Arabidopsis thaliana: one gene and its partner. Each later gene encodes a partner of the first gene's protein in a complex. Each region holds a gene or a part of one and is shown on either strand. Other genes may lie near its edges. A codon is read from its position in the direction of its gene.

Region 1 (5,342 bases):
GAAGCTCTTCTTGCAAGTTAAACGCACTTAACATATAAATCATCTTTGTTTAAACCAGTTCTTGGCATACTTCTACGTCATATTTCTCACCCTTCTTCTCTTTGATCGAGCCAAGAGAGACGATGACCGATGCCGATCAAAGTAAGCACCAAATCTAAATGATTTATTTTACACATCCTCTTTGATCTTACTCTGATTTGCTGACAATATTCGGGTTTTGTTTTGGTAAAAAGGTATGGGAAATATTGGAAGCTGTATTGTGAGAAAGTCAAATACAGGATCATTCCGGGAATTTATTGATTGTAACGAAGTCTGTTGTTCTCATTTTCTACTTATTACGTTAATTCGAACGTTGGAATCATCAAAAGACCGTGCCAAAACAAAAATGCAAATTGATGCGATAGACATTCTTTTGCTGATTTGTATGCTATAGGTTTTCAAATCTCTAGCTACACTTATGTATTTCCCTAGATTATCAAAGTTAGCCTGCCGTTTTCTAATTTTATTATTTGATATTTTGATTATACTGCTTCTTAATGCATCAAATAAGTTGATTCATCCATCTAATATTTTAACTACATCAAATGAAGTCTTTTATAAGTACAGGCACTAATTGAACTTGAACCCTATAAAATACATGAATAATCACAAAGAATTGATAGTGTTCTTTCAGTTTTTCAATCACAAAGAACTCACCGACATTATCAAGTTGACTTCACTTTTAGACTTAATTGGTGTTCTGGAGGATCCACAAAACTACTATTACACAGTTTTCACAAAATTGTGATTCTTTATTTTTTATTTTCTTTGGTCAAACTAACATTTCATTCAACTTTAAACGAGAGTTGCCTCCACGTGGAGAGTATACACAAAAAGCTACGAGGACAAATGCTCAAACAAAAAGACATAAGAAGGGGAGCTCAGAAGCTCAACCCGAGTAGCAGCATCCAAAGTTGCTAAAACAGAACCATCATTTACTTCTGAGGCGGTCTTCGTACCAAGCTCCTTCAGCAAAATTGTGATTCTATGTTTGGATATCATGAGATCTAACTACAAAGTTTTTAATAACAAAAACTTACCATTCTCTAATTTGTAGTCAAAGCTAAACAAATTTCATACTAAAACAATTTTACTGTGTTGTTATGGATGCATATTTTTCTCACTTTATAGTACTATTTTACTATTGATAAGATGAAAAAAAAGTTGAGGTACAATAGTAGTAAAATAGCATCATTCTTTTTCTGTAGAATCTCTCTGGTCAATGGTCTTTTTAGTTTAAAAACTGAATAATGTTCTCTCTCACACAGTAAAAAACAAAGAGAGAGAGAAAGAAGAGAAGAAGACAAAAATGTAGGCATTAAAAAGAAGAAAAAGACAAAGAGAAAAGTAATGAAAAGACAATGAACATTTAAAGAAGACAGACAAATCCCACACCCAAGCCTCAGCCTCATCTCTTTTATTGTTATTTGTTTTTCTAACAAAACAACAAAAACAAAAGAGATGGTTTTTGGGTTTTGTTTTGTCTTTGTTAGGGCGTGTTTGGACGTTTCCTTCTTCTCAGAATCAATATTTTACCAAAACAGCTTTCTTTTTTTCTCTTTAACAATTTTTTTGATGTAGAAATATATAGTCATGATTCCAAATCCACCTCATGCCATGACAAAAACCCATAAAAGTGGAGGTTCCAATCTCGAATACAGACATATATGTTGTATTCGTGTATGTATCTATTATAAGATAATTCCAATTTGTATAATGCCAAATGGGTTCATTGAACTTCTTCTTCCTTCATAATTAAGTGTTGCTTTTTCTTCTTAGTTCCTCTAAATCAAGAAAATTCTAGGTGAAACTTCTCTTATCTTGACTTTATATAAAATAATAACTATAAAAATAATCAATAAGACTAATTCCTACAAGTCTTACAAATTTAAAAGAAAATGAAAATGCAACATTAGCTAATACACATAATAGTATAAGATTGATGGATGTATTCTTATTCAGTTTTATTTATAAATGCAACATAAGCTAATACACTCTCATTCAGTTTTATTTATTAATGTTACACCACTTTAAGAGCACTCAAAATCAAAATACGTATTCTTATATGATATTCATTCATGTAGTACTAGTACACATAATAGTATAAGATAGATGGATGGGATTGGAAAATTTGACAACCTTTTGTTTAATAATTCCTTAAAACCAAGGAAAGAAGAAAGAGGAAACGAAAAAAACAAAAAGGAAGAAGACAAAACCGACTATCACGCATTGTCTGGTACGTAGAGCCAAAAGGAACAATGCCTCTGTTTTAGTGTTTTCTTTCTTAAAGTTTTTTCCCAAAACACAAACAACATTTCACACACACGCTATTACTCACAAGATAACCACCAGAGACGTGGATAGAGAGATAAAGATTGAGAGAACCCTCTCACTCCCAAAAAAAAAGCTTTAGACATTTTCTCTAAATCCATGTAAGTTTTTTTCTTTGGTTATTGTTGTTTGTTATCTTCTTTGATCATTTGCTATTATTTTGTTTTGTTTCTTTCTTAGTTTATCAAATTAGGAAAGTTTTAATTCAGCTCTCTGTTTGTGTTTCTTCGTCTATATCTATTTCAAATAGTTTAACTAGATTCAAAGGTTTTTAAAATTCAGTACTTTCTCTGCAAACCCTAGTTCCTCTGTTCTTTAACCCCCTTTTTTGTTAAACTGCAGATTCTCTGCATCTTTCAAGAAATTCCGAATCGTGGGTTTGGTTCTTCTCGTTACGAGTCTCTCAAAGTTTAAATCTTTCTTTACAAAAAAGGTTACTTTTGGTTCTGAGTAAATCAAAATCAAGCTTTTGGCCTTCAATGGTGGCTATGTTTCAAGAAGATAATGGAACATCTTCTGTAGCTTCATCACCACTTCAAGTCTTCTCAACTATGTCACTCAACAGACCGACTCTCCTCGCTTCTTCATCTCCGTTTCATTGTCTCAAAGATCTCAAACCAGAGGAGCGTGGTCTCTACTTAATCCACCTCTTGCTAACTTGTGCCAACCACGTGGCTTCAGGTAGCCTCCAAAACGCTAACGCAGCGCTCGAGCAGCTCTCTCACCTCGCTTCTCCTGACGGCGACACGATGCAGCGAATCGCTGCTTACTTCACCGAAGCGCTTGCTAACAGAATCCTTAAGTCCTGGCCTGGTCTTTACAAGGCTCTTAACGCAACTCAGACAAGAACTAACAATGTCTCTGAGGAGATTCATGTTAGAAGACTCTTCTTTGAGATGTTCCCGATACTCAAAGTCTCTTACTTGCTCACTAATCGAGCTATACTCGAGGCTATGGAAGGAGAGAAGATGGTTCATGTGATTGATCTCGATGCTTCTGAGCCAGCTCAATGGCTTGCTTTGCTTCAAGCTTTTAACTCTAGGCCTGAAGGTCCACCTCATTTGAGAATCACTGGTGTTCATCACCAGAAGGAAGTGCTTGAACAAATGGCTCATAGACTCATTGAGGAAGCAGAGAAACTCGATATCCCGTTTCAGTTTAATCCCGTTGTGAGTAGGTTAGACTGTTTAAATGTAGAACAGTTGCGGGTTAAAACAGGAGAGGCCTTAGCCGTTAGCTCGGTTCTTCAATTGCATACCTTCTTGGCCTCTGATGATGATCTCATGAGAAAGAACTGCGCTTTACGGTTTCAGAACAACCCTAGTGGAGTTGACTTGCAGAGAGTTCTAATGATGAGCCATGGCTCTGCAGCTGAGGCACGTGAGAATGATATGAGTAACAACAATGGGTATAGCCCTAGCGGTGACTCGGCCTCATCTTTGCCTTTACCAAGTTCAGGAAGGACTGATAGCTTCCTCAATGCTATTTGGGGTTTGTCTCCAAAGGTCATGGTGGTCACTGAGCAAGACTCAGACCACAACGGCTCCACACTAATGGAGAGGCTATTAGAATCACTTTACACCTACGCAGCATTGTTTGATTGCTTGGAAACAAAAGTTCCAAGAACGTCTCAAGATAGGATCAAAGTGGAGAAGATGCTCTTCGGGGAGGAGATCAAGAACATCATATCCTGCGAGGGATTTGAGAGAAGAGAAAGACACGAGAAGCTTGAGAAATGGAGCCAGAGGATCGATTTGGCTGGTTTTGGGAATGTTCCTCTTAGCTATTATGCGATGTTGCAGGCTAGGAGATTGCTTCAAGGGTGCGGTTTTGATGGGTATAGAATCAAGGAAGAGAGCGGGTGCGCAGTAATTTGCTGGCAAGATCGACCTCTATACTCGGTATCAGCTTGGAGATGCAGGAAGTGAATGATATATTACAGTTTGTCTTCTATTTTGGTTATGAGCAGAGTCCCTTTCTTTTTTGTATACATGGGGACACAATCTTAGTTGTTTTGTGATGGTGACTTTCTGTCTCTTTATGCTATTTTGGCTTAAATGCTTCTACTGCCTCTGCATGTAAAGCCTTTGTGTGTTGGTTCAATTTGGTCTGGTGTGGGTGTAATACCAAACCAAATCCAATTTGAGCTGAAGATAACTAATTTGATGATCGGTTCAAGTTCAGAACTCCAAATTCTTTCAGAGACCAGCCAAACTTTGCCTATCTTTAAGCAGGTGATCTTGTCATTTGTGTATTGTAAATAACTTAAACTCGGTATATATATTTAGGTTACTAAAGGACATGTTCACTATCCAAAGAGTATACGACTTATCTGCTGTCCAAATACTTTGTAACCTAAAGTTCACGTGCTTCATTTACATTGAATCTAGTTTAACCTAATCTTCTTGCTTCATTTATATTTGAATTTTGTTTAAGCAATCTAGTCTTTATCTTGTCTTAGCAAATTCACAGAGTGTTTCTCATGCAAAAGTGTTGCATGATCAAAACACCTTGATAATAAGATTGAAAGAGTAATGTGATCCCAAAAGGAAAGAAGATCTCGGATGAACTGATTCAGAAAAAGTATATACTCTGATGTTATATATACTATGAGACAACAGCTAAGTTATTTACATATTTCCTCATTTCAAATCTGTGAACCTGAAGAACACAAGAATGCAGCTCATGATCAAAATTCTGAAAGAAGCGAAACTTCGCCAACCCAAGATTTAAGAACAGCTACACCATGAATAGATATTTGAGATCATCAACTGTTAATCGAGTTGCAGAGCTTCCACCATGATCTTCACCAAAGGCAGACGCAACCATTTTTCTTTTCTCTTCCTATAATAATAACCAAAAATCACACAACCACAAATGAGAGAAACTGAGGGGGGAAACAAGTATCAGCTATAAGGGATCTTTACCTGGAGAGCCAAAATTCTATCCTCCACAGTATTTTTTATCGTAAT
Region 2 (6,498 bases), on another chromosome or scaffold:
ACATAGCTAGTACATATCAACGTAGATTTTTTATAAAATAAGTAATAAATAAAGAGCTACTGTTTCTTAGTCTCAAAATACCTTATAAAAAGATATTGTTTTGTTTTATAAAGAATAAAATGAAATTTGTTAAGAAGATATATATATATATATATATCTCAATTAGTCTATATATAGGGAGTATATATATATATAGTTATTGATTACTGCTTCTAAAATATGCAACAATTATATTGGTACGTATATAAATTGTTTTTTTTTAAAAAATAAATAAATTCAATTTGTAGAAAAAAAAAACTTATTACAAATAACATAAAACAATAAAATGCCGAAACTAAGAAACCCTTTAAAGTTATGACCGTAATAGTTAAATGTTGTATCTACAATCCTTTGAAACTATATCTATGTGAATGAAGATTTTAGTTGAATAAAGAATAAATCCAAAAATATCATCAAATTATGCATCAACATTAAGGGTGTCAAAATGGATCAAAATTCATGGATCAAGTCAACTCAACTCAATCCGTAAACTCTAATGAGTTCAAAATTTTGACTCAAATGAGTTGATGAGTCAAATGAGTTGATGAGTCAATTGGTTTGATGAGTAAAATGAGTTGATGAGTCAATTGGTTTGATGAGTAAAATGAGTTGATGAGTCAATTGGTTTGATGAGTAAAATGAGTTGGGTTGTAATGGTTAATGGTTTCAATGGTTTACCCAATTAACCCATCAAGTTTTGTAAAATTGAATTAAACCAACTAAAATCTCTAAACCAATGCCAATTTAAGTTTAACCAACACAACTAAACCGATTTAATAAAATTAATATTTTTCTAAATTTCTTAAATATACAAGCGATGAAATTGAGAAAAAAGTAAACTCGTAATTTTCCACCAAAAAACATAAACCCGTGATTTTCCTGCCAAAAATTTAAACCCGTGATTTTTCCCCCAAAAACGTAACCCGAGATTTTTCTGCCAAAAATATAAACCCGTGATTTTTCTGTCAAAAACTTAAACCCGTGATTTTCCCGCCAAAAACGTAAACCCGAGATTTTTCCGCCAAAAACGTAAATCCATAATTTTTCCGCCAAAAACGTAAACTCATAATTTTCCCGCCAAAAAACATAAACCCGTAATTTTCCCGCCAAAAACGTAAACCCATGATTTTTCCGCCAAAAACGTAAACCCGTGATTTTCCCGCCAAAAACGTAAATCCGTGATTTTCCCGCCAAAAACGTAAACCTAAGATTTTCCCGCCAAAAACGTAAACTCGTAATTTTCCCGCCAAAAACGTAAATCTTTTAAACACCGTGATTTTCCCGCCAAAAATGTAAATCCGTGATTTTCCCGCCAAAAACGTAAACCCGAGATTTTCCCGCCAAAAATGTAAACCCGTAATTTTCCGCCAAAAACGTAAACCCGTGATTTTCCCGCCAAAAACGTAAATCCGTAAAAAGTGGAATCCGTAAATATCCTAAGTTTGATGATAATGAATTAATAATGATAATTATTTATTATTGTTTTATAATAGTAATTAATTAAATTATTATTTAAATGGGTTAATCCATTTAACAACTCAACCCATCAAATTAAATGAGTTATGGGTTGACCTAACCCATTTAACAAAATGAGTTGGGTCAACCCATAACTCATTTAACCCTAAACTCATTTGATTATGAGTTGAGTTGAGTTGGGTTACCCATTTTAACACCCCTAATTAACATACACTAATTGATGATATATATTTTTCAAATAACAATATCATCTAAAATATAATTTAGATTACATCCCTTAAATATTTATACCTTCTCCCAACTTATAAACACACCATAGATGTACACATGCACGTGTGTCTATCTAAACTGCAAGAAAGGAAGAGACTGGCCTTTTCGAAGAAAATAATTATTTACAAAAAATCACTTTCCCTTTTAGAAAATAATTTACTAGTCGACTACAAAAAAAAGGGTAGATCTCTATATGTACATCTCCCAGATCTCTCAACATTATTTATACAATTTTTTCTTTTATTCCTGCAAGAGTTTTTTTTTGTTTATAACAACAAATCCTCTTTCAATATAATCTTTATATATACGTATACTTTCGTGCCTTGAAATTTTCTTCCTCATCTTCTTTGGTCTTTTCTTGTCATTTGGCATAACCAAAGAGTCAAGCACATTCAAACATTCTCAAGCCCTAAAACCCAAAAAAAACTTATATGCTCTTGTTCTTGTTCTTCTTCTCCCCTCAGCATATTAAACCCTAATTAACTATCTCTTTTGTTTGTATACTGTTATAAACCTCCTGATCATCTTCTTGTTTTCTTGCAAGATTTTATAAAAAAAAAACAAAACCCAGCTGTTCTTGTTCTTGTTCTTTAGCTCCGATCCGTTTTAAATTAAAACACAGATATGCAGATGATTCCAGGAGATCCATTTTCTATTTCATCCTCCATGGGAGGGTTTGTTCATCAAGAAACACACCTTCATCATCTTCAGCAGCAGATCCCTGACCTTAACCCTAATTCTAACCCTAACCCAAATGCGAAACCAAACTCTTCATCAGCCAAGAAGAAGAGAAATCAACCTGGCACTCCAGGTATAACTCATTCCACACCATAATATACTCACATGTATACCCAAATCTATGTGCATGTGTGTGAGTCATAGATACTTGTATGTCTATATTTCTACATATACATAAGACGTAGAAAGCAGCTCCATATATTTGCAGATCTGTTTTCTGATGAAAATAACATCTCCATATATATTATTTGCTGAAATAATCACAAACTCAGTATTCACATATGCATATACATCCCTCTCTATATTTCTTATATGTATATTTCCTCCTTTTACTGTATCCGGATGGTCATGTTACATATTTGTTTATTTATAATCTCTACAACATATTTGGAGCCATTAGATCAAAATATGCGTTGATATATCATATTTAAACATAAATATGGACAGATCCAGATGCTGATGTCATCGCTCTATCGCCAACAACACTCATGGCAACAAACAGATTCGTGTGCGAGATCTGCAACAAAGGGTTTCAAAGGGACCAGAATTTACAACTACATCGCCGTGGCCACAACCTTCCATGGAAGCTAAAGCAACGGTCCAAACAAGAAGTGATAAAGAAGAAAGTATACATATGTCCTATCAAGACTTGTGTACACCATGATGCCTCCAGGGCCCTTGGAGACCTCACTGGGATCAAGAAACACTACAGCCGCAAACACGGTGAAAAGAAGTGGAAGTGTGAAAAGTGTTCTAAGAAATACGCTGTTCAGTCTGATTGGAAGGCACATGCGAAAACTTGTGGTACTCGTGAGTATAAATGTGACTGTGGCACGTTGTTCTCCAGGTAATATTTACTAACGAGATTAACAGTTGGTATTGGTTAATGTATAAGTTGAGTTTTTTTCTACATGAAGTATTAGAACTCGGTATTCTATTCATATATAGCAATATCGGATGAAAGCAATGCAAAACAATTCATGTGACAGTGTTAGAACCTAAAAGAATTGTGTAAAAAACTCAAACAGATATAGGTGTATATATCAAGTGTCGGCATGCATGAATGTGTGTGCAATGTCTTGTGATTTGTTATATCTGTTGCGAAAGTTGGAATAGAGCAGAGCATTAATTGAAGACATTCTGACTTATGGGAGCAATTTCTATTTATTTTTGTTTAAGATTTTGAAATAATAGCTGCATACTTTATGAGTATATGATATTCGATGAGATTTTGATGGCATGAGCATCTATTCATTTTGTGTGGTTGTATGTGTACATGTCTATTTGGCTTCATTCTTTTCTTCTATTCACACCATATGGCAAGAAACTAGATATCATGCATATATTTTGTCAACAAACACATACACACACATGCATATATATTATATATATATATATATATATAAGTTCTATGTTTTTGTATATAGTAACAATTAAGGTTTTTGTGCTTTTTTTTTTTCTTTTTTTTTCTAGTTTTATGTTTATTTCTGTCTTCATGTCGCGAGTTTGCATAGGAGAAATAAATGCTTACTCCGGCCAAGAATGTTTTTGTTTTGCAAATGATTTCAAATTCAATGCTCTATTGAATAATAATCAATGCAGTTGTCTCACTCTTAAAATAATTATGTCTTTATTTTTATTATTTATTATCTAATAAATAATCGATCTCTGTTTTATAGGAAAGATAGTTTCATCACACATAGAGCGTTCTGCGACGCATTAACTGAGGAAGGAGCGAGGATGAGTTCACTTAGTAACAACAATCCGGTGATCTCTACGACGAATCTGAATTTTGGAAATGAGTCAAATGTTATGAATAATCCAAATCTTCCTCATGGATTTGTACACCGAGGAGTTCATCATCCCGACATTAATGCTGCTATCTCTCAATTCGGTCTAGGGTTTGGACATGACCTAAGTGCAATGCATGCGCAAGGTACATCACATACCAATCCTCTTTCTAAATTAGTTATTCATATATATGAAATATTTTTTTTTTTTGATGAATATGTTATAATACTATTATCAATTCAATTGCGTTAATTTAGGTCTATCCGAGATGGTTCAAATGGCCTCCACCGGCAACCACCACCTCTTCCCGTCGTCATCATCATCCCTCCCTGATTTCTCCGGCCACCACCAATTCCAAATTCCAATGACTTCCACAAACCCTAGTCTCACCTTATCATCATCCTCAACATCACAACAAACCTCAGCTTCACTACAACACCAAACCCTAAAAGACTCATCTTTCTCACCACTCTTCTCCTCTTCCTCCGAAAACAAACAAAACAAGCCTCTCTCTCCAATGTCTGCCACAGCTCTCTTACAAAAAGCTGCACAAATGGGCTCTACTAGAAGCAATTCCTCCACCGCTCCGTCATTCTTCGCCGGCCCAACAATGACATCCTCCTCGGCCACCGCTTCTCCTCCTCCTAGATCGTCTTCTCCAATGATGATCCAACAACAACTAAACAACTTCAACACCAATGTCTTAAGAGAGAATCATAATCGTGCTCCTCCTCCTCTTAGTGGTGTCTCCACTAGTAGTGTGGATAATAATCCCTTTCAATCGAACCGATCGGGTCTAAACCCGGCTCAACAGATGGGTCTAACCCGGGATTTTCTTGGAGTGAGCAACGAGCATCACCCTCACCAAACGGGTCGTCGTCCGTTTTTGCCTCAAGAACTCGCAAGGTTTGCTCCATTGGGTTGATTATGTGTTTAATTAGGTACTGTGTGGGGGGGACAAGATTTTGGGTTTAATTAGGATTGGAAGTTCCTTTGAGGAGACAAGTCTAATTAAGAACCGTACCCCCTTGTGAAGCGGTCGGAATGTGGGGACAAAGGTTGACAAGACATCATCATATCAATTTACATTGAATGTTATGTACTTTTTTACTATGTTTATGATTATCGCAATTCACATAATATATACCACCATGACATGCATGGATATGTATTTCCGACATTGTCGTTTTGTAAATGTTGTTTATTTTTTCTCGTTCTTGTAATGACATTCAAAAAATTGGTAAATCTTCAGGCTTTTCCAAGTTTGTTAACGAAGACATTGCTTAAATCGAATATTGTGATATATATGTTCAATTCTCTAAAATCCATGGTTTTCTGTTTTAGACACTTCTTTGATTCTATTGTGATGCGATCACTACACTTATACAGTTATATTCTAAATTTAGATATGTTGACAATAACCCTACAAAACGTTCCCCAAGAACAGCTCAAAGCCTCAAAGAAAGTCGCTTCAAAAGTTTTAAAACAAAAGTAAACTCATTTTATAACCAACATTATGCGTTCATATATAACTGTTTTCTTTAATAAAATACAAAATTCTTACATAAAGTATAATTGAAACTGAACCACCTTGTTGAAACTTCCTTTCAAGAGAACTCAAGTTCTCGAGGTGTGTGTCAATGTAACCTTTTGGATTCTGCGTAAATTAAAATATTTTTAACTGATACTCTTTTCAGTAGACTGATAGGCTTGTGCTTGTCTTTATTTTGACTTATCTCTAACCCCACACATACAATAGTATAACTAAATAGCTAGTATTATTTTCCTAGAAAATATGAAATCTGTCGTCTTGTGGATCCATGCGTTATTCGTTTTTCATTGTCAAACACTAAAAGATTTAGTATGTATTTATGTTATTTGCTTCCCCCCACCAATGGTAAATCCTATTATAAGTGCCACTAATAGGATTATTTAAATTTAAATTTTGATGCATGTCAAAATCAAAATCACAAAACAGAGTAATATTTATTTTACATAACATATTATTCTTTCCAAAATCTGAAGCAAAAAAAAAATTAGATGCAAGTTTTGTGATACTGATCCGGTTAATTACACTTCCAACATTTTGGGCCCATCAAGTATTCTGTTAGGCCCATATTTATCTTTCAGTTATAAGGTTGGCCTTTAAGGCTTCAATTCTAATAGGCCCAAGAATCGCAGTTA

Evidence for each region. The genes of interacting proteins can lie anywhere in the genome.
Region 2: the proteins of SCL3 (region 1) and JKD are in contact, whole or in part, in a crystal structure (PDB 6KPB), measured with the Arabidopsis thaliana proteins. Residues at the interface, in NP_175459.1 of Arabidopsis thaliana: Glu48 (codon at 2,991), Gly51 (codon at 3,000), Leu52 (codon at 3,003), Ile55 (codon at 3,012), Thr90 (codon at 3,117), Met91 (codon at 3,120), Leu366 (codon at 3,945), Tyr367 (codon at 3,948), Ala370 (codon at 3,957), Ala371 (codon at 3,960), Asp374 (codon at 3,969); in NP_195935.2 of Arabidopsis thaliana: Ser370 (codon at 4,835), Ala371 (codon at 4,838), Thr372 (codon at 4,841), Leu374 (codon at 4,847), Leu375 (codon at 4,850), Gln376 (codon at 4,853), Ala378 (codon at 4,859), Ala379 (codon at 4,862), Met381 (codon at 4,868).

The regions. Positions count from the first base shown.
Region 1 is NC_003070.9:18,677,133-18,682,474, reverse strand, and holds SCL3 (scarecrow-like 3), read left to right. Parts: upstream 1-2,174; 5' UTR 2,175-2,471; intron 2,472-2,712; 5' UTR 2,713-2,849; coding exon 2,850-4,298; 3' UTR 4,299-4,781; downstream 4,782-5,342. Other genes in the region: DWF5 (Ergosterol biosynthesis ERG4/ERG24 family), read left to right, coding at 59-141, 234-300; AT1G50410 (SNF2 domain-containing protein / helicase domain-containing protein / zinc finger protein-like protein), read right to left, coding at 5,110-5,214, 5,298-5,342. UniProt on the Arabidopsis thaliana protein: Probable transcription factor involved in plant development.
Region 2 is NC_003076.8:743,440-749,937, forward strand, and holds JKD (C2H2-like zinc finger protein), read left to right. Parts: upstream 1-1,981; 5' UTR 1,982-2,409; coding exon 2,410-2,596; intron 2,597-2,970; coding exon 2,971-3,370; intron 3,371-4,202; coding exon 4,203-4,459; intron 4,460-4,571; coding exon 4,572-5,239; 3' UTR 5,240-5,589; downstream 5,590-6,498. UniProt on the Arabidopsis thaliana protein: Transcription factor that, together with BIB, regulates tissue boundaries and asymmetric cell division by a rapid up-regulation of 'SCARECROW' (SCR), thus controlling the nuclear localization of 'SHORT-ROOT' (SHR) and restricting its action.